Mus musculus: one gene and its partners. The protein of the gene in region 7 interacts with the protein of the main gene of each other region in a biochemical or structural test. Links are inferred from orthologs where the notes say so. Each region holds a gene or a part of one and is shown on either strand. Other genes may lie near its edges.

Region 1 (3,912 bases), on a different chromosome or scaffold from region 7:
TACAAAGAGACATAGAGTTCAAGGAAGGATGTTTACAGTGCCAACAAGCACATAAGCATCTCTGCCACATGCATGATACCATGCAGTTTCCATTAGGGTTTATGTGGTGAGCTGGCAGCAGACATTTTAGATCTTTGTAGAATCTCAGGTCACTCTTAAAATTATACTCTAATTATATCAACCTCAATGTCATCATTTAAGAGATGTATGTTTCTGTTTTAGAAGTATTTCAGTTTTTCTTAATACTAAAACTAGCTTACAGACAGAATGATTCTTAAAAACCTATAGGTGTCTGTTACTGGGTTACAGGCTAAAAGATCAGGGGATGGAGCTTGGATTCCCGAGGCATGTGGAACCATAGTCATCACACCACATCTATCCATGCTCTAATGGAACCACAGCATTGGCAGCTTCCACAATAGAAAAGATAGCAGAGGGCTGGATCTGGTGGCACAAACTTCCAGTCCCAGATACCAAGGAGGCTGAGGCAAAAGGATCCAAAAGTTTGAGAGCAGCATTGTCATTGCCCTTGTTTGCAAAAATTAGTTGATTAATTAAAACTAGCAGCAGAGACTGTTCCTGCCTTCATCAGTATACTTTCAGGAAAGCTTTGTTAGAAGGTATCATTGTCCCCCGCCCAACCTCTTCCCGCTTCTCTTGGGTCCTTGACTTTTCTTGTCCCTATCTTGTGAAGCTTATCATTGGCTGACCCCACAGAAAGGCTCTCATCACAGATGACTTATCTCTGGATCAAAATGCCTACTTCTGTCACATGGCTGATCTTACCTGGTTTGGGGGAAGAGAACCATCTGGTAAAACCTCAGTGCCACGTGTACCATATTTTATCCTTCCCACCATGTCCATGTTTCTGAGGGATCTGTTGATTGTGCAGTTGTAAGGCATGGGGAGATGGAGGGAGGGGAAATATTTGGGACAAAGGCAGAAATGCCGCTGCCCCTTACATGACATCTGTGCTCTGTCCAAAGTTGGTGACTGGCAGTTCTACACACTGGCATCCCCTAATTCCTTCCTCCATGTCATTCTCTGTGCCTGGAATGTTTACTCCTTAGTTATCTGCTTCACCTTGCCTTTCTGCGGGAAACCTTTCCCACCTAGCTCAGGTTGGGGTGGGCACCTTGCCTGTGTTCCACAGCAGGTGACTGTATGCCTATCAGACACCATCCATCACATCATATGCTCCAGTTGCTTCTTCTGCCTCGTGTACTTGCCTGTGTTGTATGTCAGCTATGGGCTCCTGAAGAACTAGCATAAGACACAGACCCTAACAGGTAAAGAAACTTTTTAAAAAAATTATCTAGTTTTGATAAATTCATCTCTTCCCTGATTTTACATTTTATATTGCTGTGGTTTATATTCTAGATTTAACCTATAGCAACTTCTTAAATGGTTTAAAAGTACAATTGCTAATATCCCACTTTCTCTTATAGTCAACAACATTGCACACACTTTTGTTCATTACCACCTGTCATTTACAGCATAGACATTTTCATCAATCAACTCAGATTTGTTATCATTTATACATATATCTATCAGACCATTTGGGGGCAAACACCTTTAATCCAAGCCTGGTCTATATATGAGTTGCAGAAAAGCCAGAGTTATATAGCAGAGAGAGACCCTGTCTCAATAATAATAAAAGTTTCAACAAACAAATAAACAAATGTATGAACAAAAGTAAGGACAGAAAGAAAGCCAGAAAGCAAGTAAGCAAGCAAGGAAGTCCAAACCATGAAAACAAAATTCCCAACCAGAAAGCTACACTCTAAGCCGCCAAAGCAGTTAGTACCTGATACATTAGCACAGACTGCCTTACAGTGCCACCTACCTGGGTCTTTAGCACGTGCATCAGGTTGCCCTTCTCCATGTACTCCATCACCAGCGAATAGTTCCCTTCTTCTATGATGATGCCCAGTAGCTTCACCACTCGACTGTGTCTCAGTCTGTGCATCATCTTCCCCTCTTCCAAGAGAACCTCATTGTACCTGTGGCCAGGAAAGGAGCTAGGCTGAGCAGGGCAGGGCAGGGCAAACCCTTCTACCCAGGTGCCTAAGAAGCTCCAGTGTCCCTGCAGTGTGTGCACCATTTGCAGACATTTGTCACAATGAGGTCTTTTCTGATCTCCAGGCAGACAGGTCCTAGAAGGCAGGGAGGCTTCTCCTCATCTAAACTCCTCCCTCCTGTTTTGTCTCAGGAACTAGAAGTCGGGCAGTTACAACATGCAAATCAACTAATAAAAAGTGCAGCATCGATCTGGCCTGATGAAGACTGAGCTGGAAAACACATTAAGAAAAAAGGCGCCCCTCTCAAACTAGCCTGAGGAGAAGAGAAGCTCTCCACCTTTTACAGGGTTGCTGTCTGTCTGTCTGTTTGTTTTTCTGAGACAGAATTGGCCTTTTTTTGTACTTCAGGTTTAGGTGTTTGCAGCCATGGCTGTTTTCTTCTCATTGCCTCCCTTACTACCCAGCTTTCTGTCTTCAGTGATGTCTTCCTCGTATATTTCTCAAGCATTAATATCTTTTTAATTAACCCCAAAGTCCTCATCCAAAATAGTAGTAAGAGTTATGGTCACCCTTGAGCTAGCCAGTGTGTCAAGTCTCCCTGCAGGTCAGCCTCATTCAAACCTCTGTGTTTAGCCACACAGATGGAGATAACTACTTTCTGCAGTCAGCTAGCAAAAAGCCAAGCCCATTTATGCCCCCAACTCACTCAGCGCGGTTGGGCCCTGTGTATACTTTTTTCAGGATGACAAATCCATGGCTTCTGTGGTAACACAAGGACACCTTCCCGAAGCCTCCGCTGTCTAGGTCTGTCTTCTCCAGCAGGTCACTGGATGCCATCTTAATATTGTCCAAGGACATGTCTGGTTGCATTTTGATTGCTCAGAATCTCCAACACACCACTTTTGGTTCTTGCTTAGTGCTGTGTCCTATAAAGCAATCAGAGAGGATGTCTCAGGGCAAAAGGACCGTGATTTAAACAAAACAAAACAAAACAAAACATACTACATGTTGCCAGGGATAGTAGCACATGCCTGGAATCCCATTACCTAGGAGGCTGAGTCAGGAGGATTAAAGGTCTGAGGCTAGCTTGTACTCCACAGTGAGTTCTAGACCAGCTAGAAAATACAGTGAGTCTTATCTCAGAACCCTCCACCTCCCAAAGTACCACATATATGGAGTGCCTTTGTTTTTCTTGAGGAGAAGTACCACATATATGGAGTGCCTTTGTTTTTCTTGAGGAGAAGTATAATCTGTGACATGAGCTGTTCAGTTAAGAGTTACGGAAGACTGTGATTTATATTACAGGGGATGCTTCATGTCTGGCATCATGGAACACTAGAAAAAAATCAAAAACATTTTATCAGAAAGCTACATGTGTTAGATAACATGAATTGAGCATCCACTGAAATTCATAGTTTAGTTCAGTGGGAAGGAAAAATTCTAGGGACAAAAAGTAGACTTGGCAATGGACAAGGGGTAATGACTTTTAGGGTAGCAACTTTACTAGTGTGACCCTAGGTTAGGAGTGGAGGTGGTCTGCAACACAAGAGGATTTGAGTGAGACCTTCCTCATCACCTGGACCTCCTCAGGATACTACTTCTCAGTGGAAAGATGGACTGGAAAAAATAAGGAGCAGTCACTACCAATGAATATATGTGTCTAGGATTAGGAATGAGGTAAAATACGATTCTCTGTTAATTTATAACCTGAGCCATCTTCAAATAAACTTGGGCTTTGTCTTTAGAGGGTCCTGGATGTTCTCTTTAGGGCAGGATTCCCCAAACTAAGAATGTTTGTGTAGAAAGAGGTCATAGTCTGATGATATTCTTAGATTATAATGTTAAGCACATTAGACATAAGTTTCCTTCCCAAAAGTATAAAAACAAAATA
Region 2 (3,912 bases), on a different chromosome or scaffold from region 7:
GTTATTTGATTTTCTGAAGTCCACCTTCTTGAGTTCTTTATTATGTTGGATATTAGTCCCCTATCTGATTTAGGATAGGTAAAGATCCTTTCCCAATCTGTTGGTGGTCTTTTAGTCTTATTGACGGTGTCTTTTGCCTTGCAGAAACTTTGGAGTTTCATTAGGTCCCATTTGTCAATTCTCGATCTTACAGCACAAGCCATTGCTGTTCTGTTCAGGAATTTTTCCCCTGTGCCCATATCTTCAAGGCTTTTCCCCACTTTCTCCTCTATAAGTTTCAGTGTCTCTGGTTTTATGTGAAGTTCCTTGATCCACTTAGATTTGACCTTAGTACAAGGAGATAAGTATGGATCGATTCGCATTCTTCTACACGATAACAACCAGTTGTGCCAGCACCAATTGTTGAAAATGCTGTCTTTCTTCCACTGGATGGTTTTAGCTCCCTTGTCGAAGATCAAGTGACCATAGGTGTGTGGGTTCATTTCTGGGTCTTCAATTCTATTCCATTGGTCTACTTGTCTGTCTCTATACCAGTACCATGCTGTTTTTATCACAATTGCTCTGTAGTAAAGCTTTAGGTCTGGCATGGTGATTCCACCAGAAGTTCTTTTATCCTTGAGAAGACTTTTTGCTATCCTAGGTTTTTTGTTATTCCAGACGAATTTGCAAATTATCTGTCATTTTTAACCATAGCCGTTTTAATGGGTTTGTATTGCGATCTCTCCGTTTGTATTTTCTAGTGATATGAACAACACCTTTATATGCTTTTTAGTCAACTGTATATTTTCTTTGGTAGAATCCTAATCTATAATTTTAAAACTGCTATTAGTCTTATTATTGGATTAGACAGAATGATTTTTTTATTTCCAGACATAAGTCCTTTTGATATAGGATATGAAAATATATTCCAAACATCCGTGGCTTGTCTTTTCATGTTTTTGTAGTTAATTTATTTTTGTAAGAGTCTGTGTGTGTGTGATGTGAGCATCTTATTTGCATGTTTGCATGTATGTGCATCTGCAAAGGACTGCTCTGCTTCTGCTTTCTACACTGAGGCCATGATGCCAGGTCTCACTGAAGCCAGAGCTCACTAGTCTCGCTCACTAGTCAGCTTGTTCTGGAGCCCCGATCTCCACCTCCTAAATGCTGGGATTACCGGCAGTCTGCGGCATACCTGTAGAGCATTTGATGGGTGTTGAGAATCGAAGCTCCTTTCCTCAGGCCTGTATGACAAGCACTTTCTCCTGAAAGCCAGTTCTCAGCTGGTATTTATTCAAGTACAAAGTTCTAATTTATAAAAGTTCAATCTCCAAGATTATTTATTGAAAAAAACCATTTTTTTTAGATCCTATGGATTCAAATCTAAGAACTCTGCCTAAGCAAGGTCTTAAGAGTCCCTCCTGCTTATACTTAGATGTCTGATCTTCCTCTTCCTCTGAAATGTGCCTTAACGTTGGATAACTTTTCTGTGTCTAGAACTGTCACTTGAATTGGACAATTACTGAGGGAGTTTCCGAACTGCTCTCTCTGTTCTCACACAGTCACTTCCCCATCTAGCAGTCAAGAGGGATTTTGACCTAAACTTAAATTAGATCACATTGCTCCCAGAGGAGACAGGAGTGAATGGCTTTCCATTACGCATGAGTATAGGTCTGAGAGGGGCTGGCAACCATTCCCTTACTCTCTAAGGCACCTTCACCACCTTCTTGGTTCACTATGCTCTAAATACAGGGGCTTCCTCTTTTTTCCTTGAAAACACAAAACATTTTCTTCCTATCGTCTCAGACTCTTTACTTTGGATGTTTTCTTTGCTGGACTATTTAGTCCGAGAATGACTGGCTCTGTTTCAAGCTTGAAACAAGAACCCAAATACAAGCTCCTAAAAACCCTTTGCCATTCTTCTCATGGGTGAGGCCATTTGTTTTAATTCAGGACTGACTTGACAAGTTGTGTCTTAGTTATTTATTCATTCCCTCCATGCTTTCTCCAGAAGAAGGTTACATTGAGAAGATGCCACATTTATTCTTAGCTCTCTCTGCTCATCCCAGTGAGGAGGGCTCACAAGGCAGGTGTTCACTAAGGGAACGGAATGTTACTACCACCAAACAACTTCGCTTTTCTGTTAGGAATTCTCAACCTTTTTCTAGTAGCCATTGCCTATATGTAAATGTAACAAACAACAAGAGCAAATTAATGTATAGAATAGTTTCAAGATAGGCATGAATTTTTAAGGAATACTTTATTTAATGTATACTCATAATTTCTATAATTCAAAGGTCCAGATTAAAACTGTTCACTTACTCAAAAAGGATGGTCTTTCATCTGGGTTTTGCGCCCATCCACTCTGTATTAGAGAGATCATGAGACCTCGATGAGGTATATCAAATGGCAAATTCTCCTCACTGGTGTCAGGTCGATGTCCCTGGGACACACTGTACATGATCTGCAAAGGATTGGTGACCTCTGTCAAAACAAATGTATTTCATTAACTGGAAAGACATTACTAACACATTTCAAATCAAAATGAGGATATCTTAAAGTGTTAACTTAATTCAAAATACCCTTTTCTGTAAGAGGACTTACGTCCCAGCCACTCTCAGCCTGGTGCACCTCTCCTAGGAGGAATTTATAGCCTCTCCTCCCGAGTTCTAGATTTAGACAAGTTATTTGATTTGCTCTGTGAGAAGAGCCAAACAGGCAGAGCTCAGCAGAGCCTAGCATAGGCAACGAGGGACAGTAACGTACAGTTAATGTGAATGAGAGATAAATGCTATCTGTTAAACTACTGAAATATTAAGGATATTCATGATGTAACAAGTTCAACATTATGAACTTCAAAAAAAAATGCCCCAATATTATCTGGGAATGACAAAGGTTATTTTTCAATGTTTGTTGGTATTTATAGAAGGAGTAACAATTAAATTTTCACACAGAATTTTATTGATATCATGATTTTGAAAATAGTAATAAAACCAGGTATGATGGCACGTGCCTTTAATCTTAGCATTTGGGAGGCAGGGGCAGGCAAATATGTGAGTTCTAGGCCAGCTTGGTCTATAGTCTACATAGTTCCACCAGGAGAGCCAGAATTACATAGTGAGCCTCTGTCTCGAAGAAAATAAGTTCTCATTTTGCAAATAAAAAAAATGAGGTCATGAAATTTTGTGGCTTGACCACAGGGTTAGTTATTGCTAGAATAAAAACTAGAATTTAAATTTTTCTGATCTTTAAGCCAAGTACACTCTTCATAACTGATCCTTAATCTAGTATATTTTATAGTATGCAATAGATGCATAACTGATATACTGCTATGTTTGTACAGTGCAGTTTGTGTACAAAATGAATGGCTGGTATATTTAAAATCTGGTGAGGTTTAGACAGTTGAGACGTGTACCACCCACATGATGTCCTCTGGAATAAAAGTATACGTACCTTCAAAAGGCTGTTTTCTGGATAACACTTCCCACATGATAACTGCATAGCTGTTTAAGTTAGAAAGTTATACATTGTAAGCAAACTTTGTATATAAACTATATAGAATTATTTAAAAAAATCCCACCATTTTTGAGGATGATGAGGTAAAGAATTCCCAGATACAGTCAGGATGGTGAATGTTCAGATATGCCTGAAATTGTTCTTAAAAATAATGAATTTTAATGAAGAATATGAAGTTTCCATAACACTGGCCTAGGGCTGCTACTCACCAGGATAAATATTTGTGATAATTTATTCTAAACATTCAGATAAATGTGCCCTTTGATATGATGTCCTTATTTTTCACACAAAGTAAAGAGCAGTAACAGAAGACAGTCTTTTCATAGTGCAAGTATTTTCACAACAATTATAATTCAGTTGCAAATTGCCTAGTTAAGCTGAATAGAGTTTATATTTGGAATAAATGAGCAGAACATA
Region 3 (4,605 bases), on a different chromosome or scaffold from region 7:
AAAGGTGTTGGATCGCTCTGGAGCTGGAATTACAGGTGGCTGTAAGCCATGTGATTCAGGTGCTGGGAACCTAACTCCAGTCTACTGGAAGAGCAGCTTGGCCTCTTAAGCTCCAGGAGGAGGGAACTTGCCAGGCAAGTGTGAGGAACAGAGCTCCAATCCAGAAACTAGTATACTAGGAGGGTACGGTGACTCACCTGTAACTCCGGAAGATAAAGATGGGATCTCCAGGGCAAGCTGGTTGGCTAGATTAACTGGAATTGGCCAGTTTTGTGTTCAATGAGAGATCTTACTTCAATATATATAAGGTGAACAGCAACTGAATACACCCAGTGTCAACCTTGGTCTTCTATACACATGTGCACCACACATGTGCCCACACATGAAAACATGCACACACACACACACCACAGATAACCAAAAATATCTTTAATGTTCTTGTCTTCTAATAGGCTACCTTATTTGTGAATGAATTATATGCTTACCCTATCATATCAGCAATCTTTAAAAGAATTCTTCTGACCTTTATCCTTCTGTTTATTATTTTAATGGTATGTATGTTTTTTTTTCCTTATATTTTTGTTTATTTAGTGCTCCCTCCCCACCCCCCACCCCTATTGAGAAAGTCTCATGGTAGGTCAGGTTAACGCTGGACGCTACATAGCCAGAGGTCAAACTTCAGATGTTTCTGCTACCTCCAGTCCAGAGCTGGGATTCCAGGTATGCACTACCTGATATATACCACATCTGTTTCATACCGTCGTGAGGTTCAATCCTAGGGTTTCATATCTGTATCTGCTCGGGGAAGCACTCTACCAATTGAGTTGCATATCCAGAGGTTGGACTTGAGGTTGATCCCCAGGATTCTACTGCTTCCGCCCACCAAGTGCTGGGATTACAGGTGAGCCACCAGGGCAGGCTGTGATGTGCTAGGGATGGAGCCCCAGGCTGTACATGCCGGCAAACATTCTGACTTGGCTACATCCCTAGCAGTTTCTTTTTTGAGACTGGATCTCACTGTGGCACGAGCTATACAGAATTTTCTAGCAGGATCTTACGCTACAGCATACTGTAGTTATCACATAACAAGGGGGCTCAGGAATCTCTCCATGGAGTTGGCACAAGTAGGTTGCGAGCGAACGGGACCCTACCACTGACCCGAACCCGTAACCCCAGGATTCAGAGGGCTTCCTAAACCTGGTCACAACCGGGACGCTTTAGCGTGCCAAGATGGCGGCCGCCCCGCCCCGCGGCCGCCGAGCCCGTTCTCCGGCTGGAGCCGACTGTTGCCGAGCTTTCCCGAAAGCCCGTGGAAGCCAGGAACGGCGCGGGCGGGCGCGCGGGCGGGCGGGAGCGGCCCCGCCCGGAGCCTGGGAGCTGCGTCGACGGCACCGAGGGGGAGGGGAGGCCGGATGTGAGTGGAGCGGCCATTTCCTGTTTCTCTGCAGTTTTCCCCAGCTTTGGGTGGTGGCTGCTGCTGCGCTTCGCCTTCCCGTGCGCTGAGGGCCCGGCGGCGTGGACAGCAGTCCCGGCACTCGGCGCCCCGCCGCCCGCAGCCTCGCCCAGCGCTTCCCGAGCCCGCCGCTTCGCGCCTCAGCCACCGGCCGCCGCCGCCGCCGCCGCGGCCCACCGAGCGGCCCAGATGCAGGCCATCAAGTGTGTGGTGGTGGGAGACGGGTGAGTGCACGGCCGCGCCTGGCGCTCCGGACCCGGTGCCGCGCGCAGCGCCATCGGGGGCCCCCGCAGGCCCGAAAAGCCTCGAGCTGGCGTAGAGCGCGCGCCCGGCCTTCTGGGGGGCGCGAGCCTCCCACCCTCCCGGGCCTGGTTCCGGATTCTGGTTGGGGGAGGGCCTGGGCGAGCCGGCCGGAGGGAAAAGTGAACTCCACCCTCCTGCCTTCTTCCCGGGCCGGACGCCGCCCGTCGCCCTACTCGACTTGGCACGTAGGCGAGGCTGGTTTGAAGAATTTTTCTTGAAACATTTTTAAAAAAAATTTTTGTCTTTTGAGAAAGGGACGTATAGTTTCTTCATTTACTCAGGGTACCCCCTCGCACCCCCCCCCCCGAGAACTGGGATAGGTAACGGCCTCCAAGTCGGCCGGCCCTGGTCGATGCATGTTTGCACCAGTCACTTGGGTGACCTGGAACTTGGGAAAGGGCTCGGTTGCTTCGACTTGACAGGGTGTTTATAAAAATATTCATTTTCACACTTACGCCGAGAAAGTTACTGGGATGCTAGCTGAAGGAGTGTGATGAAGACTGTCCATTGAACGAAGTGTGGTTATTAAAAACAAACAAACCTTCTCTGAAGGCATTAGATATGGATGTAGCAGATCCAGCTCCCTGTGACTCGAGGCAATTCTTTTCGTGATTGACCGTGATGGTTTCAGGCCCTTGAGGGAGACAAGACTGGTCTTATGCAGTCCGTCCCGTTCCCCCCACCCCTTCGGTAGAAACAAGAATCTCAGTGTAATCGGAGCAAAATCGCGCGTCTCAGCGTAGCTTGTGTAGGTTCGTGTTAACGAGGAAGCTTGGAGATTTACCACCCGTTTCCTCAAACGCAGAGTGCAACTGGTCCACTTTCTAGTTCAGTCGAGTACGTTGCCAAACTTGCTTAATGCCTTCCACACTTGCAGTGAGCACTCGCCGCCCATGGGTTTATGAGCCCGTGGATTTATGAGCGATTGTTCAGCGTATTTACAGAACTCTACATTAGACTTTGGGATCGTCCCTGTAACTAAGTCAGCCAGACGGTCAGAGAACTTTATTTTTCTGCTAACATGTCTGTCTGTGGGATTTGTCTCGGAGACAGGAAGTCTCATGGATACGGTTCAATGTATTTAACGACACACTGGAATTTCATTGAGTAGGAATGTCAATGGTGCTTTCCTTTCACCTCCTAAAAGAAAGCTTTGTCACTTGGGGCACTTAGTTTGATAGTGAAGATGTTGTATTGTGGGGCCGGGGTCTTTTTGTGTAAATCCTAGTTTCTGACTGCCTTGGTCCCAACTCCATGATTCTCCTGTTAGGAGGACATGGACATAGGCGTTGGGCTTACAGGTATGAGCCACAGGTCTGCTTTAAGTGAAGGCAAGATGGCTGGGTCTGTCTGTCTGTCTCTCTTTTTGTATTGCGGTTGAACTATAACATAGCACCTTGCTGGGGAACGTTTAAAACTTACCTGAACTTTCCTTGAAAAGTTAAAAATGTTTCACCAGCAGTTTGTGGGCTGGGGAATACTACCACATTCCTAGTGTTTTAATAAGTTAAATTGCTCTGTCACCATCCTCTTTTCCTCCCAGAGCTTAGGGACCAAGGGGAGGAAGAGAGATTATAAGAGTCAGAGGTCAGGGACACCCAGCGGAAACAGTATTTTCTAGATTCCACTTGTGAACTCAGCAGCAGCTGTATAAGATCCTAGCCCAGGGCAGAGAGGGCCTAGGCTGAGTCGAGATGGGCCCTTGATGCTTCTAGGGGTGAGCCAGTCAGTGTTCTCTATGGATGTGGTCCTTGAGGGAAACTAGCCCCAGTGTGAGGCCTCACACTGTTGAGTCTATGGATGGGCAGCACAGATTGGACTAGGTGAGTTTTTAGGGCTGGGGTGGAGTTGGAAGGAAGTAGGGATGACTATGAAAAAGTACATTGAAAGACATCTCAAGACAATTACTTTTTAAAAAGGTAAATTGCTGCTGATCCAAACCCAAACCTTAGTGCTTGGGAATTCCTAAGACCTGACATGCACATGCAGCAGGTATGCCAGCACTCATTCTGTAACCCCCACCCCCAGCTGGGCCTCAGGGCCTTAGGTTTCCTGGCACGTCTGAACAGCTGAGATACGTCTTAGCCTGTTGCTGGCTTTAAAAAGAAAATCTAGTAAAAACGTGTAGAATGCCTCCTGTAGGGTTCATTTGGATTGCCACACCTTTCTTTTTCTCCCTACATTTTTTAATGTGTATGGGTGTTTTTGTGTGTATGTCCGTGCCGTATGTTGATGCCAGCAGAGGATCTCCTGAGACTGGAGTTACTGAGATCGGTGAACCATTAGGTTGTGATAGGAGTGGAACCCAGGCCCTCTGGAAGAATGACCAGTGCTCTGAACTGCTGAGCCATCTCCAGCCCTCAGTACCCTTTTAACCTACGGAGTAATCCTCAGCATATCATTTCTTCCTCAAGAGAGATGCCTCAAGGGAAAGTTAAACAAGCCTAAATGAGATGCTGAGTATGAAGAGGCTCTTGAGTGCCCGGTCCTTGTGGAGCGCTGAGCGAGTGCTGGTTACCGTTGTTGCTGTGCTTTTCTCTTCTCCTTTTCCTTTTCTTTGAGTCCAGTGCCTATTCTCCTGAGCCGTTCCCACTTGCTTCTCGCCTCACTACCGTTGTTGGGGTTTGTTTGTTTTCACTATGAGGGTCAGTGAAGAATGTTAGACATAAAAATGCAGTTCCTGGCCATGGAGTTTTCAGTCTTGTTCTAAACAGTGTATTGTGGTGTGTGTGTTTCTGTGTGTCTCTGTGTGTGTGTGTCTGTGTGCGTGTGTGTGTGTGTGTTCTCTGTGTGTGTGTGTGTGTGTGTGTCTGTGTGTGTTCTCTGTGTGTGTGTGTCTGTGTGTGTTC
Region 4 (3,912 bases), on a different chromosome or scaffold from region 7:
AAGGTATAGCAACCCACGTGGCTGGATGGGACTAGGTGATCATATTAACTTAGATGAGCTACTTGAGAGCTAAGGCCTAAGATCTGAAATATTAAAAGGTCTCTGTGTGGTTATTTGCGGAACTAGCTGATTAAGGAATAACTGCTGTTGTACTTCAATTTCCAGCATTAATATATACAGAATATTAATAAACTGCTGCCATATTAATCTCCAGCATTAATACATAATATTAGTAATCATTTTTACACTATCTAAATAGTTATGCCGGACTGGAGAGATGGCCCAGTGGTTAAGAGCACCTCCTGCTCTTCCAGAGGTCCGGAGTTCAATTCCCAGCAACCACATGGTGGTTCACAATCATCTATAATGAGATCTGATGCCCTCTTCTGGTGTGTCTGAAGACAGCGACAGTGTACCCACATACATTTAAAAAAAAAAAAAAAAGCTGGGAACTATAGAGAGCATTTCTGTAAAAACAAACAAATAATAGCAGCTTACGCTGTACAGGGGTGCAGTGTCAGAATGTGACATTTAACACTTGAAGGCTACTCCTCTAAATGGCTTTCTCTGGGAAACAGGCTAGCCTAGGCCAATTCACCAAGCTTTTGAAAGCTTGGAACTCCAGTGGATTATTCCTGAACTCAGGTGACACCCACTGAAATTCAAGCCCGCTGCACTGGGGACTACTCTCCTGAGTGCTATTTTCGTCTGGGATGGTATGACCTGCAGCTGTCTCTGGAGGGTTTCAGGGGAAGCCTCGTGAGTCAGCTCTCCCTTTCCCGAGCGCTGCCCAGAGTCCATCATGCCCTTGCGGTCTGTGTCCAGTGAGAATGGCTTAGGAAGCACTGTGGTTCCTTCTTACCAGGGGGGTGTGCGTTCCAGGACCACTGATAGGACCTCCAAACCACAGGCAATACCAATCCCTATTGTCCTGTGCCTTTTCTACCATGAAGAGGTCACCATCATGGCGCACAGGCTCATAGGTGAGCGGCACAGCATCCTAGTACATCTCCTTTGTTTACAACCTCACAACAGCACGTCTTTAATCCCAGCACTCGGGAGGCAGAGGCAGGCGGATTTCTGAATTCGAGGCCAGCCTGGTCTACAGAGTGAGTTCAGGACAGCCAGGGCTATACAGAGAAACCCTGTCTCAGAAAAAAAAAAAAAAAAAAAAAAAAGCCTTCCTTCTTTTTCCCTTTCCTTTCTCATACAGTGTGTGTGTGTGTGTGTGTGTGTGTGTGTGAGACGTGCCTGTGTATGTTGGGTGCATGTATGTGAAGGCATGTTTGCAACTGGTGTGTGTCTGTTGAGACCTTCAGCTGATGCCAGGAATTATCTATTGTCCACCTTCTTCAATGAGGTAGAATGTCTCATTCAACTCCAGAGCTAGTCTCACCAGTCAGCTTGCTCTGAGGATTCCTCTGCCTCTGCCAAGGAAGGCTGGAACTATGGGCAAGCCACCACCCACCTACTACATGAGTTCTGGGAATTTCAGTTCTGGTCATCTCACTTGCACAGTAAGTGAGTAACCACACAGGCCCCTGAAAAAGTCCATTCTTACAGCAGAGCCCAGCAACTTGAGCCCAGGCTTTCATTTCCTCGCTGGCTGAGAACTCCCGCTTCAAGAAAGAACTCTGTGTGCACCCTCCTTTGGGCATGTAGGAACCGCAGCATTAAGAACCGACCCTTGGGGGCTGGTGAGATGGCTCAGTGGGTAAGAGCACCCGACTGCTCTCCCGAAGGTCAGGAGTTCAAATCCCAGCAACCACATGGTGGCTCATAACCATCTGTAACAAGATCTGATGCCCTCTTCTGGAGTGTCTGAAGACAGCTACAGTGTACTTACATATAATAAATAAATAAATCTTTAAAAAAAAAAAAAAAAAGAACCGACCCTTTGGAGGCAATATTAAATAAAACAGGATGCCCTGAGCACAGTGCTGTCATAGCCCAAGCGACGACTTGGTAACATCCTCCACAGAGGGATGACACATGACTGCATGGGACAGTGTCGTGACAGCAGATTCCACCGCACCACGTGGGATGAGCAATGTGCGTTCGTATTTCTGGAGTTTTCCATTTAACAATTTCAGACCATGGTTGAAGAGCAATCGAAACATCAGAAGGTGACGCTGTAGATGGGGGTGGGGATTACCACGTAAAGCAGAGGGGTGTGCCTGACCCTCAGGGAATGCCATAAATGTCCCCGACCAAAAGAAGGTGCGAGGAGGGTCCTCTGCTCCCCTGAAGCCCTCCGCCGAAATTACGTTACTTATTTGTGTACTTGTGGCAGTCAAAGAACTTGGGGGAAGTCGGTTCTTTCTACCTTGAGGCTTCAGGGGATAAATCCCATCCAGTTAGCAGGCTTGAAACACTGGGCCACCTTGCTGGCCAGCCCTCTTTTTAACTAGAGATCCCTTCATGTGAGTGCCGCTGTACAGTCTGGACACTAGTTTCAGCACAACCATCTATTATTGACCCGTCACAAAAGTGATGAAGCCTTAGTGCCTCAGTTTCCCCAACCCGCCAGATGGCATCGACGAGGGACCCATCCCCCGGGAATACACATGGGTTAAATGTGATGATACAAATGATAAATGAAGGTGTGATTATTCATACATGGCAGATGTAGAATACAACATGGACTCAGGAAAGCTAGGGGCCTGAACACGGAGGGGTCTAGCTTCACCCCTGAGCAAGCTGCCCTGGTACCTGCTATTCCTACAACCCATACTCTGCCATTCAGCAGCCATGTTCCTTACCGACAGGCATCAGCAGCCCCCAGCCTTGCTCGGATGAGAGCAGGCTGCCCCTCAAACATGCAGCTGTGAGCAGGAGCCCACACAGTGCAGCGCAGCCTTCCTGGACCTGCCTAAGCTAGAAGGTCCAACACAAACCTCCTTTCCTGAGTGTCCCCTCCCATCGGGTGTGAAGTGGGTCTAAGTGGCTGAGGGGGGTGATGAGCCAAGAGGAGAACTTACAAGAGAATAGAGGAGATGATAGAGGAGCGGTCTGGCTTGGCGTCAACTCCGTCTTCGCTGGAAGAATCCACCTTTTCCAGCTCCGCAGCACAGTCCTGATCATCGGTCATCTAGGAGGAAAACCAAACCAGAAAAACAGAGATGCAGAGTGGCGTCTTAGCCTTGTGATTGTGTGTGTGTCCACGTGTGGGACAAGTCTGTGCGTGTGCGCACACACAGGTCAACCTTGGACGTCATTCCCTAGACTCTGTCCTCTTGTGTTATTAGCCAGGCTCTCTCGCTGGCCTGGATCTCCCCGTCAGGGTAGGCTGGTCGGCCAGTGAGCCCCAAGGATCCACCAGTCTCAAGTGTGTGTCGAGGCTCCTGGCTCTGTATGTGGGTGTTAGGGGCTGAACGCAGGTCTTCACACATGAGCAGCACTCTATAAACTGTGGCCCTCTGTCTTTTAGCATTTTCAGGTGACATAGCACGTAATGAATTAAAGGTAGGGTGAGCAGTTTTGCGAGTTTAAGCTCCAGAGTTGCTGCACCATCAACGTGATAGTGTAATCCGACACATGAGTGTCAACTCTACGGATGGCCTCCTTCCAGAGACCAAGTAACCAACAAGAAGAAACCAAAGCCCCTGACCTCAGAGCTTCTGCTCCAGCTCCGGTGGCTTTGGATAGGTTCTGTCAGGGTTCATAACAATCAGCCCCTTAAGTTCCTGGCAGGTCACAGACGCTCATACCCAGCCTGACATCACCCGGCACACTTCAACAGCAGCAGTAACTCTGAGTCACAGAGCTCTCTTCGCTGTAGGGGTGTGTGTGTGTGTGTGTGTGTGTGTGTGTGTGTGAGCTAGCATGTGTGTACACGATCTTTACTCTTGGGACAGTGAAAGGCAGCCTGTTTTGGTTGCGCGAGTCTTGCTCCAGAGACCCAGTAGAAAA
Region 5 (3,912 bases), on a different chromosome or scaffold from region 7:
CAGCCCTAACACCATCAAAACATTTATTAAAATCAAAGCAGGAGGGAACAGAACTGTTAGGAAACAAATCAAAGTGCAGACTGGAGGGTGGGGAGGACAGCAGAGGAGCACTCCAGCCATAGGAAGGACGCATACCCACCCCTCCTGGCCGCAGTCAGCCAAGGCCCTCACGTACCCTCCCCATCTCAGATCCCCTGGATACATGCGGCTGGAGTACTGGTACAAAGGGACTGTTTCTCCAGCCCATCCATGGCTGTCAGTCTGTCTCCCTCTCCCTTTCCCAATAAATAAACTGCTTGGGCCTCAGCAACTCTTGGGTAGGGATCCTGCCCTTGCTTCAGAGAACAGGGACTTAAGGTATCACCCATGCCCCCCACCCTTTGCTTATCCCCCCAGGCTTGCCAGAGGCCTCGATAAATAAATAAACGCTCCATTAAAGCTTCGATCGGAAAACTTTTAAGCAGTGCTCTTGCTGCCCTGCAAACCCAGCCAGGCAAGCTGTACCACCCGGCCTGGCTGACACACAGGATTCTGAAAGCAGGCAGCCACCCTGGGCCTCACAGGGCCCCTGCAGCAAGGACACCAAAAGTGCAGTTAGAGCCCACCCCCACCCCAATGCGCACACATGGATCCATGCACACATGTGGACACACCAGGATGTGTCTGCAGCACACATACAGATGTGTTCACCTTCATTCCCGGGCACACGTGCACATACACATACATACACACACACACACACACACACACACACACACACACACACACACACTCACACACACACACACACACACTCACACACACACACACACACACACACTCAGACACACACCCCAGGCACACAGTGCGCAGTGTGGGGTGCATGCACACACACTGTACAACATCCTTCCCATTTTGGTCTGCTCAATGTGGCAGCAACCAAACCCCAGAGCTAGAAGCTATTGGGACAGAGGGTATGGATCGTGCTATTCCAATGAGGCAGGAAGGATGGCCCAGGGCAGGAGGCTCCAAAGCTGCAGACAGGTGGGCATCTCCAGACACCCTGAATCCCTAGGCTTCTGTCAGAAATCCAGAGGGGTCAGGTCCCCAAAGTCACAGTCAAAGAGATCTCTAATGCCCTCACCCTCCTCGAGACCAAAGTGATAGTCAAGGGCCTCGTGGGGTGGGGAGAGGCTGATGAACTCCCCAGGGAGGAGCCCAGAGAAGTCTTCTTTAACATGCTCCAGGAGTGAGTCAGCAGCCACCAGTGGTGACAGTTGGTCCTCTTCCATAGGGACCCTCAGGTGGCCCATCCGTGGCAATACTGCTTCTGGAGAAAGGAGGCATTACAAGTTAGGAGAGGCCCAGCAGGAGAGGGGCTGCCATGAGTGCCTGCCAAATACTACAAACCCTGGCCCTACCTACCTTGCTCCAGGCCCAACAGGGATTGACTGGGATCCAAGGCTGGGGATGTGGAGGGAGGTGATGGTGGAGGCCCTGCTGGGCCAGAGTCTGCAGTCCGGTCCTCCCCAGAGGATGTCTCCTGGCATGAGGTCTTCCCAGGGCTAATCCCGTCTGCACTCTCCTCCGGGCACAGGAAAACATCAATGGGGCCTTGTTTGCTCTTAAGGGAGATCTGAAATGTCTGGGTGGAGGCAGCAGGCAGGATAGATAGGTAAGGCCTAGGTGAGCACCAGCCCAGCCTCCCTGTCTTGGAAAGGCTTAGGGTCCTTAGTCTCACCTCTGAAGAATCCACAGCTTGTAGTTGGGTCTCAGGAGGGGCCTTGATCACTATGACCATCTGTTCTGCAGGGTCTGCAATGCTGCGAAGGTCCTGGCAGGTCACATAGGCCAGGGTTGGGGGAGTCAAGGACCACTGACTCACATACGCCTCCCCAGTCACTCCTTTTTGACACCCTCATCCCACCACCTGGCCCATAGTAGCTGCCCAGAATCTCATTACTAAACTTCAACTTTCTCAACAGTGAGACTATCTACCCATCCAATTCCAAACTCATGGCTGCCTGTAATAATTTCATATCAAATGCTCAACAGGTCTGGACTGGGAAATGGATTTTGACAATCTTACTGATAATGATATTCACTAAAAGGCACACTTTCTAATAGTTTCTTTTTGTGAATTAAAGTCTTAACTTTGAAGCTACAATCGGGAACTAAATTAATGACCAAGGAAAGGTTTGTCACTCTTTGGTGACAGGGTCTGTGTAATCCAGTGACCTATGCTTATGTTGCATGTCTTACTCTATAACCTCAATTGGCCTTCAGTGTTAGTTTCTGCCTCATCCCTGGCCCTGGGATTACAAGTATATACCACCACACTGGGCTTTCCTTCTTTGGTTGAGACAGGGTCTCACTGGGTAGCCCTGGCTAGCCTAGCATGTGGACCAGAGCAGCCTGAGTTCAGATATCCCCATGGCTCTGCTCCCCCAGAGTCTGTATCCCTGTTCTCAGCCTGGTCTTTTCTGTATATGAGTGGTTTCCATACCTGTATGTGCACCACACAAGCACTTAGTGCTTTTGGAGGTCAGAAGAGGGCATAAATGCACTATAACTAGAACTACAGATAGCTGTGAGCCACCATGTACATGCAAGGAATTGAACTTGGGTCCTCTGTAAGAGTAACAAATGCTTTTAACTGCTGAGCCATCTCTCCAGTCCTTGGCTTCTTTTAAAATGTATTACTTGATTTTAAAAAAAGATTTATTTGTTATATATAAGTATACTATAGCTGTCTTCAGACAGCAGAAGAGAATGTCAGATTTTATTTTATTTTTGTTTTTTGAGACAGGGTTTCTCTGTATAGCCCTGACTGTCCTGGAACTCACTCTGTAGACCAGGCTGGCCTCACACTCAGAAATCTGCCTGCCTCTGCCTCCCGAGTGCTGGGATTAAAGGCGTGCGCCACCATGCCCAGCGTTTTTCTTTCTCTTTTTTTTTTTTTTTTTTTTTTTTTGAGACAGCAAACTGGCTCTGTAGAGCAGCCTGCCCTCAAACTCAGAGATCCGCCTGCCTCTATCTCCCAAGTGCTGGGATTAAAGGTGCACGCCACCACAGCCCTGGCTATTTTTCTATTAATATGTACAATTTTGGAAATAGATATTACTGTCCTCTCTTTTATAGGTGAAACTGAGGCCCATAAAATCCAAGTAACTTGTTCGGTGTCACATGGTAAGTCAATGTAGAGCCAGGTCTTGTTTCCAAAGCCAGAATTTTTTATCATCAGAGCCCTAGGTAACCTCTATAGTCTCAGTAGTGCGGCGCCACCACTGGCCAAGTCGGCCTTCAATGCACCCTGACCAATCCAAGGATATCGCTGGGTGTCGGAGTCCTCCGAAAGCAGTTGCAGCTGTGTGGTACAGATGTGCATCAGGTGATCCAGCTGCTGCTCACTCTCCTGCAGTTGCTGCAGGTCCTGGGTCAGGCCTTCAAGCCGCTTACCAATCCCCACCATGGTGTGGCTGCCTCTGTGGGAAGCCAGTGAAGAATTAGCAGTCCTTGCGCCCCCAACCCATCCATCAGCCCTAACCCTCAAGACAATCTGTTGCCACCACTATTCTGTGAGAAGCTGGCAAGCTCCTTTTCCTCTGTGGCTCTGCTCCCCAGGTAGGCTTAGAGTAAGACTGGCACGGGCTCAGTAAAATGCTTGATCAGTCAACAAACACCCACCAAGGAGCCAGGTAAGAAAACAATAGCACAAACATGCCATGGAATGACACAGCTGAATTAGATACAAACGATTTGGAGACACACTATCAAGTAAAAAGAAAACAATACAGAATGAAGAATCATCTATCAAAAACCAAAGCAGATATGCCAGAGAAGGCAGCGGGATGCCTGGGGAGGCAGAAGGTACAGCAGAGAAGTAGAAACAAAACCACAAATGTATAAGGCCGATCTCAATGATGACAGCAA
Region 6 (4,433 bases), on a different chromosome or scaffold from region 7:
CTCAATATGAATTGTTCCCTTTCATAAGAGATCTTGTAATTAAATGCCCCTTATCCTCTTTAAAAAAAAAAACAAAAAACAAAAAACTAAAACTAAAATGGAAGAACCACTTAAATTATAGCCCTATGAATCAAAGATCAAAGTTTGACTGTGCATTCAAGCCCCATCAATTCTCCTCCAAAAAGTACATTAGACCAAAAAAAAAGAAAAAAAAAATCTGCAGTATACGTATCATAAAAGTAACTAGAAATGTGGGGCAGCATTAGACTCAGTGGGTCACAAAAAAGAACAAGAGTTGGGAGATGGACTCACTGAGGGGAGAGCTGAGGGACAGAGGAGGGAGATAGGGTGGTCAAAATATAAAATGTTTCACATGTATGAAAATCTGAAATAAAATAATCTACAAAAATATTCCTAAGAAAACAAATCTTTTTGCAAAGATTTGTAAACTTTGTAAACTTTAGTCTTGATGGGTTTACAAGGATCACCGGAGCAGGGAATGTGTTTACTAAGCACAGGTATTGTCTCAATATGAAAACATCTTGAATTTAAATAAGAGTTTAACAGAATATAAGGCACTTTAGGGTCTTGAACAAATTGTTTAAAAACAAACTCCTTGTAAATACTCAGTTGCCAATCTCTTATGTCAAAATCAAACTAATTGTGTTTTTAATTTTTATTATTATTGTGTGCATTTATTTGTACACATACACACTGGCAAGAGTGTGAAGATCAGAAGACAGCTTTTGTTTTTGATTCTTCAAGACAGGCTGTGTAGATGAGTCTAGCCTCAAACTCAAGAGTTTGCCTCTGCCTCCCCAGGGCTGGGATTAAAGGCTAGGACCACTAAGGCCCAATGGAGAACAACTTTGGAGAGGATTCACTCCTTCCACTTTGGGTTCTGGGGGACCCAACTAAGGTAGTCAGGCCTGTTGGACAAGTGTTGTTATCCACTATACCATCTCACCAGCCCAAACTAGTTAATTAAAAAAAAAAAAATGGTGCACATATAAACCTTTTAAATATAGGCTAAAAAAAACACAATAGTAGGTAAGTATTCCAATTTTATATTCCTATATGTCACATTAAGGCTAACAAATTTTGGAAGATTTTGGAAGATTCAAGCTCCACAACTACCAACTACAGAAAGCCAATTTGAATCCACCACTCCAGTATTTTACAAACATCATTTTCTATACAAATGAGCAATAATGGGAAAAGTCTTGTTCAAACATGAGCCACCCTTACAGGGATGCACTGGATATCATTTGCTTTGCAGTGTTAATGTTCTTCAATGCTAGTGTGTACTATAATCAAAGGACACACCATTCTAGTGATCTAAAAATATTACTCAAGTTTTTAGGGTTAGAAATTAAAATCAAGGTTGGTAATTCAAGTAGCTCATTCCTGTAAGCCCAGCTCTTGAGAGGCAGAGACTAGGAGGTCCCTCTATGTTTAAGGTTAACCGGGGCTACATATGGAGACCCTGTCTCAAGATAAAAAAAAAAAAAAAATCCAAAAGCCCTTTTAATGGAAAAACTAAAGCATGCAACTTTGAAGTTGCAATCCTAACAAAGACAAATCAGGGGTATGACGAAATTCTCTTTTCACCTCATTCTTCAAACCATGCACTGAAGTTGGGTTCTTTACATCAAGTAAGTCACAATTAGTGTGGCAAAGAATTGCTCCTGCAATTCACCCGAGTATATAGCCAAGGGGTCCTTTAAAGATCATACCTACACAAGTGGCTGCAGACAGTGTATATTCCCTGACCAAAATAACTTAAACCTAAGATTTTGAACCTTCGGTATTTTAGGTGCATCTCAGGCAGCCTGAAGACAGGCAACAGGATTTCAACAACAACAAAAAAAAATTGCCACCTTACTCTGAACCAATGTGCTGGGTTGACCCACAAAGGCCGCAAGATGCTGTCTTAATTTGAATAGCCCTGACTTGTAGGAGTTAAAACTCTCACCCCTTATGCTGCGATGACGTAATCTTCCACACTGAATTTCTCCCAGAGTTAAAGGGGTGGAAAGAGGAATTTACAAAATAGTAATAATAACCGACAAAGAAAATTTCCTGCTAGGAACGAGGAACTGAGTAAGTGGCCAGGCGGGGTTTCGGGAGGTGCTTAGGCAGGTCCCGGATGGCAAAGAGGCCGGCCCCGGCAGGAGAGCCCCGGGAGCCGCGGGGCAGGAGAGGACACGGCGCGGGGCTGGAGACCGCCGAGGGGCGCAGGCGCAGAGCCGCCCGGTCCGTCACCTCGGCCCCGGCCCGGCCCGGCCCTGCGGCCGCAGTTCCGCTCCCCTCCCCCGCCAGCCGCAACGCGTCCGTGGCGGGGCCGGGGAAGCAGGAAGTCGAGGCCCACAACGGAGAGACAGCCCCCGGCCTCCGACCCCGGTCCGGACCGGGCGTCTCCCACCCCGCGCCCCGGGGCCTCGGAGCCCGCGGGCGGCCGGAGGGGGAGGGGAGCGGGTGGGATGGGTGTGCCCGGTCCTCTCGCCGCCGCCGCCGCCGCCGCCGCCGCTGACAGCTCGGCCGGGCTGTGCCCTCGGCCGCCGCCATCCCCGGCCGCGCCGCGCCGCCATTCCAGCCCTAAGCCTCGCCGCGACCCCGCCTCGCTTCCCTCAGAACCCGGGCCGGCGGGCGCACGCGACCCCGGCAAGCCCTCCCTCGCGGCCCACCGCCCGCAAGCACCGGGATGCCCCTGCCCGCGAGCATCCTCGAGAACCGAGAGAGGACGGGGGGGGGGGGGACACGCGAAGGGGACCGGGCGGCGCAGAAGACGCTCCCGCAGGGAGGCTTCTCGGGCCCCGCACTCACCTCAGCTTCTCCGCCGGGGCGTTGGCAGCACTGCGCGGGGCCTCCTCGGCTGCCGGACAGGGGCACGCGCCTGACGTCAGCACGCAGGGGACGCATGGTTGGGTGCCCGCGGAAGTGGGAGGGACAAAGAGAGAGAAGGGGCTGAGGGCGGCTCGGGCTCCGCCCCTTGGCGCGCACGCGCGCGGGCTGCGTTCCTTGCATGCTCTGGTTGGCTCTCTGCGCCTTTTAACGGTATTTTTTATCCGTAATAAAACTATGAACAATGATGTGCACGGTGTTGTAACTAAAGTTTATTTTGAGTCTTGCAACTTCGTGAAGAAAAGTGTTGTAAATATGTTTTACTTTTATATTTTTGTTTATTTTATTGAGACAGGGTGTCATTATGTAGCCCTTGCTATCCCAGAATGGCTATGTAGACCAGGCTGTCCCAGAACACAGCAATACTACTGCCTCTGCTTCCAGAGTTCTGATATTTCAAGAAATGTACTACCATGCCTGAGCTGTCTCTCTCTTTTTTGTTGTTGTTTTTTGTTTTTTGACAAGAGTTTCTTTCCATGGGTAGCCCTAGCTGTATTGAAACTTGCTGTGGAGCCCAGGCTAGCCTGGAACTCAGAGAATCCCTTGCCTCTGCTTCCTGGGTGCTGGGATTAAAGGTGTGCATCACCATACCCAGGCTACCGGGTTTGTTTTGTTTTGTTTTGTTTTTAATAACTTGAGACGTGATCTCGTTTAGCGCAGCCTGGATTTGAATGCTTAACTAGGTACCAGAGGTTGATCTTAAACTGCTAAGCCTCTACCTCCGAAGTGCTGAGCTTATAGGCGTGCCCCTCCATAGCCTGCCTCTTTGCTTCTCTGAGAGAGGAAGTGACTTGCTGTGCACAGCTTTATCTGTCTGTTTTTGGAGTGGGAGTTGAGTATCACCCTCGGTTTTGTTTAGAACTAAAGACTTTCCCCCTCAAAAAAGTCCTACATTTACTGTCCCTGAGTGCTCTCCCCTGGCCCCTTTGGTTGGATCTGACCTATCAAATCCTTCTCTTCCCTGTCATCTCGGCGCCTGTTGAATAGCTGCCTTCTCTGGCCGTGTACTAGCTGCTGGAGAATAGAGAGCCTAGCCTTCTGTCAGATGCTCCCCAACATTAGAGGAACCTTATCTCAGTAATGTTCTCTTGCGGGCTGGAGATGTAGCCCAGTCGGTAGAGAGCTTGCCAAGAATGCACGAAGCCCCACGTTAGTGCCTCTACCACATTCATAATCCAAGCTCTGAGATGGATGGCTGTAATCCCAGCACTTGGGAGGTGGAAGCAGAAAAATCTATGGTGACCCTTGGTTGCATAGAAGATTCAGAGTGTCCTAGGATACAAAACATCCATTCTCAAAAAACAGGAGGGTGTGTCTTAAGGAGGCAGAACTCTGAGACCTCAGATGTGTGCTCCTGCATCCAGCTTTATGTGGGCCCTAGGGATTCGAACTCAAGTCCTCACACCTGCGCAGCAATCACTTTGCCCTCTAAGCCACCTCCCAGCCTGCAATCTACTTCTTTCAAAGCTGTACTGTAAACATCGTTCTGTGTCGAACGAAGCCCCGCTTATAGCAAGGCTGCATTCTAC
Region 7 (3,912 bases):
TCTGTAACTGGGTGTTATGAACTGAGATGGGGAAGGTCAGAGAAAAACATCTGAAGAATGAAATCAGAGGAAACCTAGTGCTTTGACATATTTGCTGAGACAGCTATTGTAGCCCAAACTGGAAGCACCTCTAAGATTTACACAGGTAATTGAACATTCCAGCCTGGACTGCATCTGACCTGAGCATAATAAAGTACACTCGTTTAGTAGTCTACCACGTAGGAATATGAAAAAGGAACTAGCAGCAGAAACGGTTCAAAATCATCCTAACAAACTGGAAAAACACCTAAAAGAGTGGCGTCAGGGAAGTCCCCAAAGCTGGTGTGTAGAGGACAAAAGCTCAGTGTGCGGCAGCGTGCTTCCATCAGCCCTGCCCTGTGGCAGAGGAGCAGGAGCATCCCAAGCTCAGGGCCAGCTGAGGATGTGCCCAGAAGGATTCACTCCAGCAGTTTCCAGTGACTCTTGTCATTATCAAAGCAACATTTCCAGATTAGCAGGAGGTGACATAATCCAGTGGACAAGGCCAGGTGAGGTGGCCTGTAATACCTGTAATACGGTGCTCAGAGCCTTAGGCCAGAGGATCCAAAGTTCAAAGCCAGCCGGGGGCATATTATAAGACCCTGTATGAAAAATGAATGAAAAAAGAAAGGAGGGGAAATATGAGAAGAAGGGAAGAAAGAAGAACAGAGTCAAGTGGTTCTAAGAGAAAGAAAGAAGTTCTCTTCGCTCTCCTACTTTCTCTGTGCTGTCCTATGAATGGGGAAAGAAGTACAAAAGCACTTCCCAGGCAAGCCAGAATTTGATCCCCAGAACCCAAGAGAAGACTGATTCCTGAAGTTGTCTTCTGATCTCTACATGTGTACTGTGAAACACATCTAGATATACACCATACACGCACAATCTCTCATATATTCCTTTAAAAATAATTTTATAAATTAAAAGCAGCAATCTATAAAGAAACAATGTGCAACAATCATTATGAAGATAGGTGTCTTAGTCAGGGTTTCTATTCCTGCACAAACATCATGACCAAGAAGCAAGTTGGGGAGGAAAGGGTTTATTCTGCTTACATTTCCATACTGCTGTTGATCACCAAAGGATGCAGGACTGGAACTCAAGCAGGTCAGGAAGCAGGAGCTGATGCAGAGGCCATGGAGGGATGTTCTTTACTGGCTTGCCTCCCCTGGCTTGCTCAGCCTGCTCTCTTATAAAACCCAAGACTACCAGCCCAGAGATTGTCCCACCCACAAGGGGCCTTTCCCCCTTGATCACTAATTGAGAAAATGCCTTACAGTTTGATCTCATGGAGGCATTTCCTCAACTGAAGCTCCTTTCTCTGTGATAACTCCAGCTGTGTCAAGTTGACACAAAACTAGCCAGTACAATAGGCAAAGAGATTTTATAAGGAAAACAAAAGCAAGATGTATAGCATGGTGCAGCGTGGCACAGAGTGCTCTGGGTTCCAGCCTACATTAACACTGACTAAGAGCAGCTGTCTACTACTTCACCCTGTCCAGTTCCTTATACAGGCAGTTACCACATACTGAGGTACTCCTTCCTCTCACACATGACCCCAGTGCCTTACCCCCTGGAGCATAGTTTCCATGACTAAGCCCCTATCTACTATGTAGTCAAGGTTTCTACGACTTTTAAATATCTTGGTCACGTTTCTCTGTACCGGCTGCAAAGCTGCCAATGCCTCTCTCCAAATGGTGAAGCAGAACCAGCACTCCCCTTGTGATATGACCAGCACATACCGTGACCGTTATTTAACCACAACACATGTAACTACTGAGAGCTGGCTAAACTCAGCTCTCATACAGAGCCCCCTGCACCCAATCACTACTCTATCTCCAGCACCACCTGCAGCCTCTTCTAACACATTCTAGGCACAGTGACCGTCTCCCCACTGGAGGTAAAGCTTTCATTCGGTATGCTTCAAGCTGTTTTCTGCATGTGTCTCGTCACTTCATATGCTCATATGTCAGCTCTTTAAATAATAATAGTATCATAAATGTCAGGAATCTCAGTAAAAGCATACATTTTCTAGTTAACATCCCAAAGTTGCCCCTATGACTTCAGAAACGTTACCACCCTTTTCACTAATATACTTTTACTCTTAACATTCTTACAAAAATTCATAGTTGTATTTGAACTATTCCTACTTACCTGTAGGGTCAGCATTTTCTTCTCCTGGGGTGTCTGAAGTGGACAACAGCTATGAAATAAGAGAACACTTGACAGCTAAGTCAGAAATCTCTAACATTCTAAACAGCACAGTTGGGGATCTCACTCTGTTGCTGACACTGGCCTAGCACTCATGGAAATCTTCCTGCCTCAGCTTTCCAAGTATCGGGATTACTGGAGTGAGCCACCACAGCCAAGCAAACAGACATTTAAGTAAAGGGACGCATCCTTTTGGAAACTCCAGGTATGCTAGCACACTCCTATAATTTCAACACTTAGGAGTCTGAGGCAAGAAGACCAGGAGTTCAAGTCAACCCTCAGATACAAGAAACCCTGTCCCAAAACTCTAAAATAAACACACATATACTTTACTTTGTTTTGCTTCATCATGCTTATCATACAGTTATGCTTACACATTTATCTACATCCAAGTTAAAACTCCAGTGTGGCTTCTATTTTAGAGACCAGGAAGATACAATAGTGCCATCTCATTCCATTTGGAAAGTGGGATTTCATGAGTAACTCTTCCAAGGCTTTAACTCTCAACAAGTTTTTGTTTTTTTCTAGAAGAGACTAGAGACATTGACAATACCTCTTTAACCCCATATAAAGACAAAGCAAACAAACAAAAACCTCTGTACAGTAGCAGGATATAAGATTTTTCAAAAAGGCAAAAGTAAAAAACAATATTTATAAAGAACCCTGAACAGCAAGCTACCAACAAAACTGTCAAGAATGCCGTTACTGTGGCTACAGGCCATGTAACTTGAACGCCAGCTCTTCTAAGCACACACCCAAACTAGGCGGGTCTTTCTTTCTAAGTACTTTTTTTCTTAACTACAGTGCTTAAAATGCTATAAAAATTTAATAAACTTCAATTTTGCCTTAAAATTATGTAAATGAAATACAAATAAATGTCTCTTCTAAGATTTCTGTAATTATTATTTCATAGTATAGTTCAATGCTGTACTTTTGTCTGTATATGTAGAATATATGAACCTGGCCACATAGGTGTGTGCATCTATGTGCTCACACACATGTGGAGGACAAAGGTGAACACAGGTGTGTTTTTAAGACAAGGTCTCCGCTTCATTTAACCTGGAACTCACTGAATGGCCTGGCCAGTGACCTCCAGGGGTCACCTGTTTCCAACATCCTAGGGTTACTGATGCATGCTCCCACACCAGCTCTGTATGTGGTGCTGGGATCTCAGTTCAGGGCATCATCATATTTCATAGTAAGAACTTTATCAAATGAGCCATCTCCCCGCTTTCACGTAAATGTTAAAATCAGTTTACCTGCTCAAGAAGATGAGGATATCTAGCTTGAATCTCATCAACAAACTCCTGACCCTTCATCCGTATCAAGAACTCACACCTAAAATGTGAAACAAAAACTATTTTTAAGTACTTCATATCAAAAATAAACTGACTATTCTATAGGAGTGACTTTCAAATCATCTTCATTATAACCCATAAAACCCTGTTTATATCACAACCCAGTAGACATTTAGTATAACAGAAACCAACTGTCACACACCACATTCTCATTGTGTTGGTGCATTCTATTATTTTTTTCTGTTTCATTCCACTTATACAACAAAAAAGGGAATAAGTCTGCACTTAGAAAGGGGTACAAGTTGGCATGTGAAACACAATGTTATAGACATTGTCTTTTTCATGCTTAAGGCGATTTTAAAACCTATTAGTCCTTATCTATTAACAT

The links.
Region 1: of the proteins of Birc2 (region 7) and Ripk1, one has a biochemical effect on the other in vitro, tested with the Homo sapiens proteins (6 studies listed by BioGRID, with this or other methods). The link is inferred for Mus musculus from reciprocal best matches to the Homo sapiens genes BIRC2 and RIPK1.
Region 2: the proteins of Birc2 (region 7) and Ripk2 form a complex in vitro, tested with the Homo sapiens proteins (4 studies listed by BioGRID, with this or other methods). The link is inferred for Mus musculus from reciprocal best matches to the Homo sapiens genes BIRC2 and RIPK2.
Region 3: the proteins of Birc2 (region 7) and Rac1 form a complex in vitro, tested with the Homo sapiens proteins (2 studies listed by BioGRID and IntAct, with this or other methods). The link is inferred for Mus musculus from reciprocal best matches to the Homo sapiens genes BIRC2 and RAC1.
Region 4: the proteins of Birc2 (region 7) and Casp7 form a complex in vitro, tested with the Homo sapiens proteins (2 studies listed by BioGRID, with this or other methods). The link is inferred for Mus musculus from reciprocal best matches to the Homo sapiens genes BIRC2 and CASP7.
Region 5: the proteins of Birc2 (region 7) and E2f1 form a complex in vitro, tested with the Homo sapiens proteins (2 studies listed by BioGRID, with this or other methods). The link is inferred for Mus musculus from reciprocal best matches to the Homo sapiens genes BIRC2 and E2F1.
Region 6: the proteins of Birc2 (region 7) and Cdc42 form a complex in vitro, tested with the Homo sapiens proteins (2 studies listed by BioGRID, with this or other methods). The link is inferred for Mus musculus from reciprocal best matches to the Homo sapiens genes BIRC2 and CDC42.

The regions. Positions count from the first base shown.
Region 1 is NC_000079.6:34,008,636-34,012,547, reverse strand, and holds part of Ripk1 (receptor-interacting serine/threonine-protein kinase 1), read right to left. Parts: intron 2,948-3,912; 5' UTR 2,892-2,947; coding exon 2,728-2,891; intron 2,004-2,727; coding exon 1,847-2,003; intron 1-1,846. UniProt on the Homo sapiens protein: Serine-threonine kinase which is a key regulator of TNF-mediated apoptosis, necroptosis and inflammatory pathways.
Region 2 is NC_000070.6:16,135,773-16,139,684, forward strand, and holds part of Ripk2 (receptor-interacting serine/threonine-protein kinase 2), read right to left. Parts: intron 3,483-3,912; coding exon 3,433-3,482; intron 2,464-3,432; coding exon 2,302-2,463; intron 1-2,301.
Region 3 is NC_000071.6:143,524,835-143,529,439, reverse strand, and holds the start of Rac1 (ras-related C3 botulinum toxin substrate 1), read left to right. Parts: upstream 1-1,446; 5' UTR 1,447-1,642; coding exon 1,643-1,677; intron 1,678-4,605. UniProt on the Homo sapiens protein: Plasma membrane-associated small GTPase which cycles between active GTP-bound and inactive GDP-bound states.
Region 4 is NC_000085.6:56,403,595-56,407,506, reverse strand, and holds part of Casp7 (caspase-7 precursor), read right to left. Parts: intron 3,092-3,912; coding exon 2,982-3,091; intron 1-2,981. UniProt on the Homo sapiens protein: Thiol protease involved in different programmed cell death processes, such as apoptosis, pyroptosis or granzyme-mediated programmed cell death, by proteolytically cleaving target proteins.
Region 5 is NC_000068.7:154,559,627-154,563,538, forward strand, and holds part of E2f1 (transcription factor E2F1), read right to left. Parts: intron 3,465-3,912; coding exon 3,312-3,464; intron 1,836-3,311; coding exon 1,721-1,835; intron 1,625-1,720; coding exon 1,405-1,624; intron 1,310-1,404; coding exon 1,062-1,309; 3' UTR 1-1,061. UniProt on the Homo sapiens protein: Transcription activator that binds DNA cooperatively with DP proteins through the E2 recognition site, 5'-TTTC[CG]CGC-3' found in the promoter region of a number of genes whose products are involved in cell cycle regulation or in DNA replication.
Region 6 is NC_000070.6:137,354,820-137,359,252, forward strand, and holds the start of Cdc42 (cell division control protein 42 homolog), read right to left. Parts: upstream 2,941-4,433; 5' UTR 2,827-2,940; intron 2,820-2,826; exon of another isoform or gene 1,976-2,819; intron 1-1,975. UniProt on the Homo sapiens protein: Plasma membrane-associated small GTPase which cycles between an active GTP-bound and an inactive GDP-bound state. In active state binds to a variety of effector proteins to regulate cellular responses. Involved in epithelial cell polarization processes.
Region 7 is NC_000075.6:7,823,446-7,827,357, forward strand, and holds part of Birc2 (baculoviral IAP repeat-containing protein 2), read right to left. Parts: intron 3,565-3,912; coding exon 3,486-3,564; intron 2,219-3,485; coding exon 2,170-2,218; intron 1-2,169. UniProt on the Homo sapiens protein: Multi-functional protein which regulates not only caspases and apoptosis, but also modulates inflammatory signaling and immunity, mitogenic kinase signaling, and cell proliferation, as well as cell invasion and metastasis.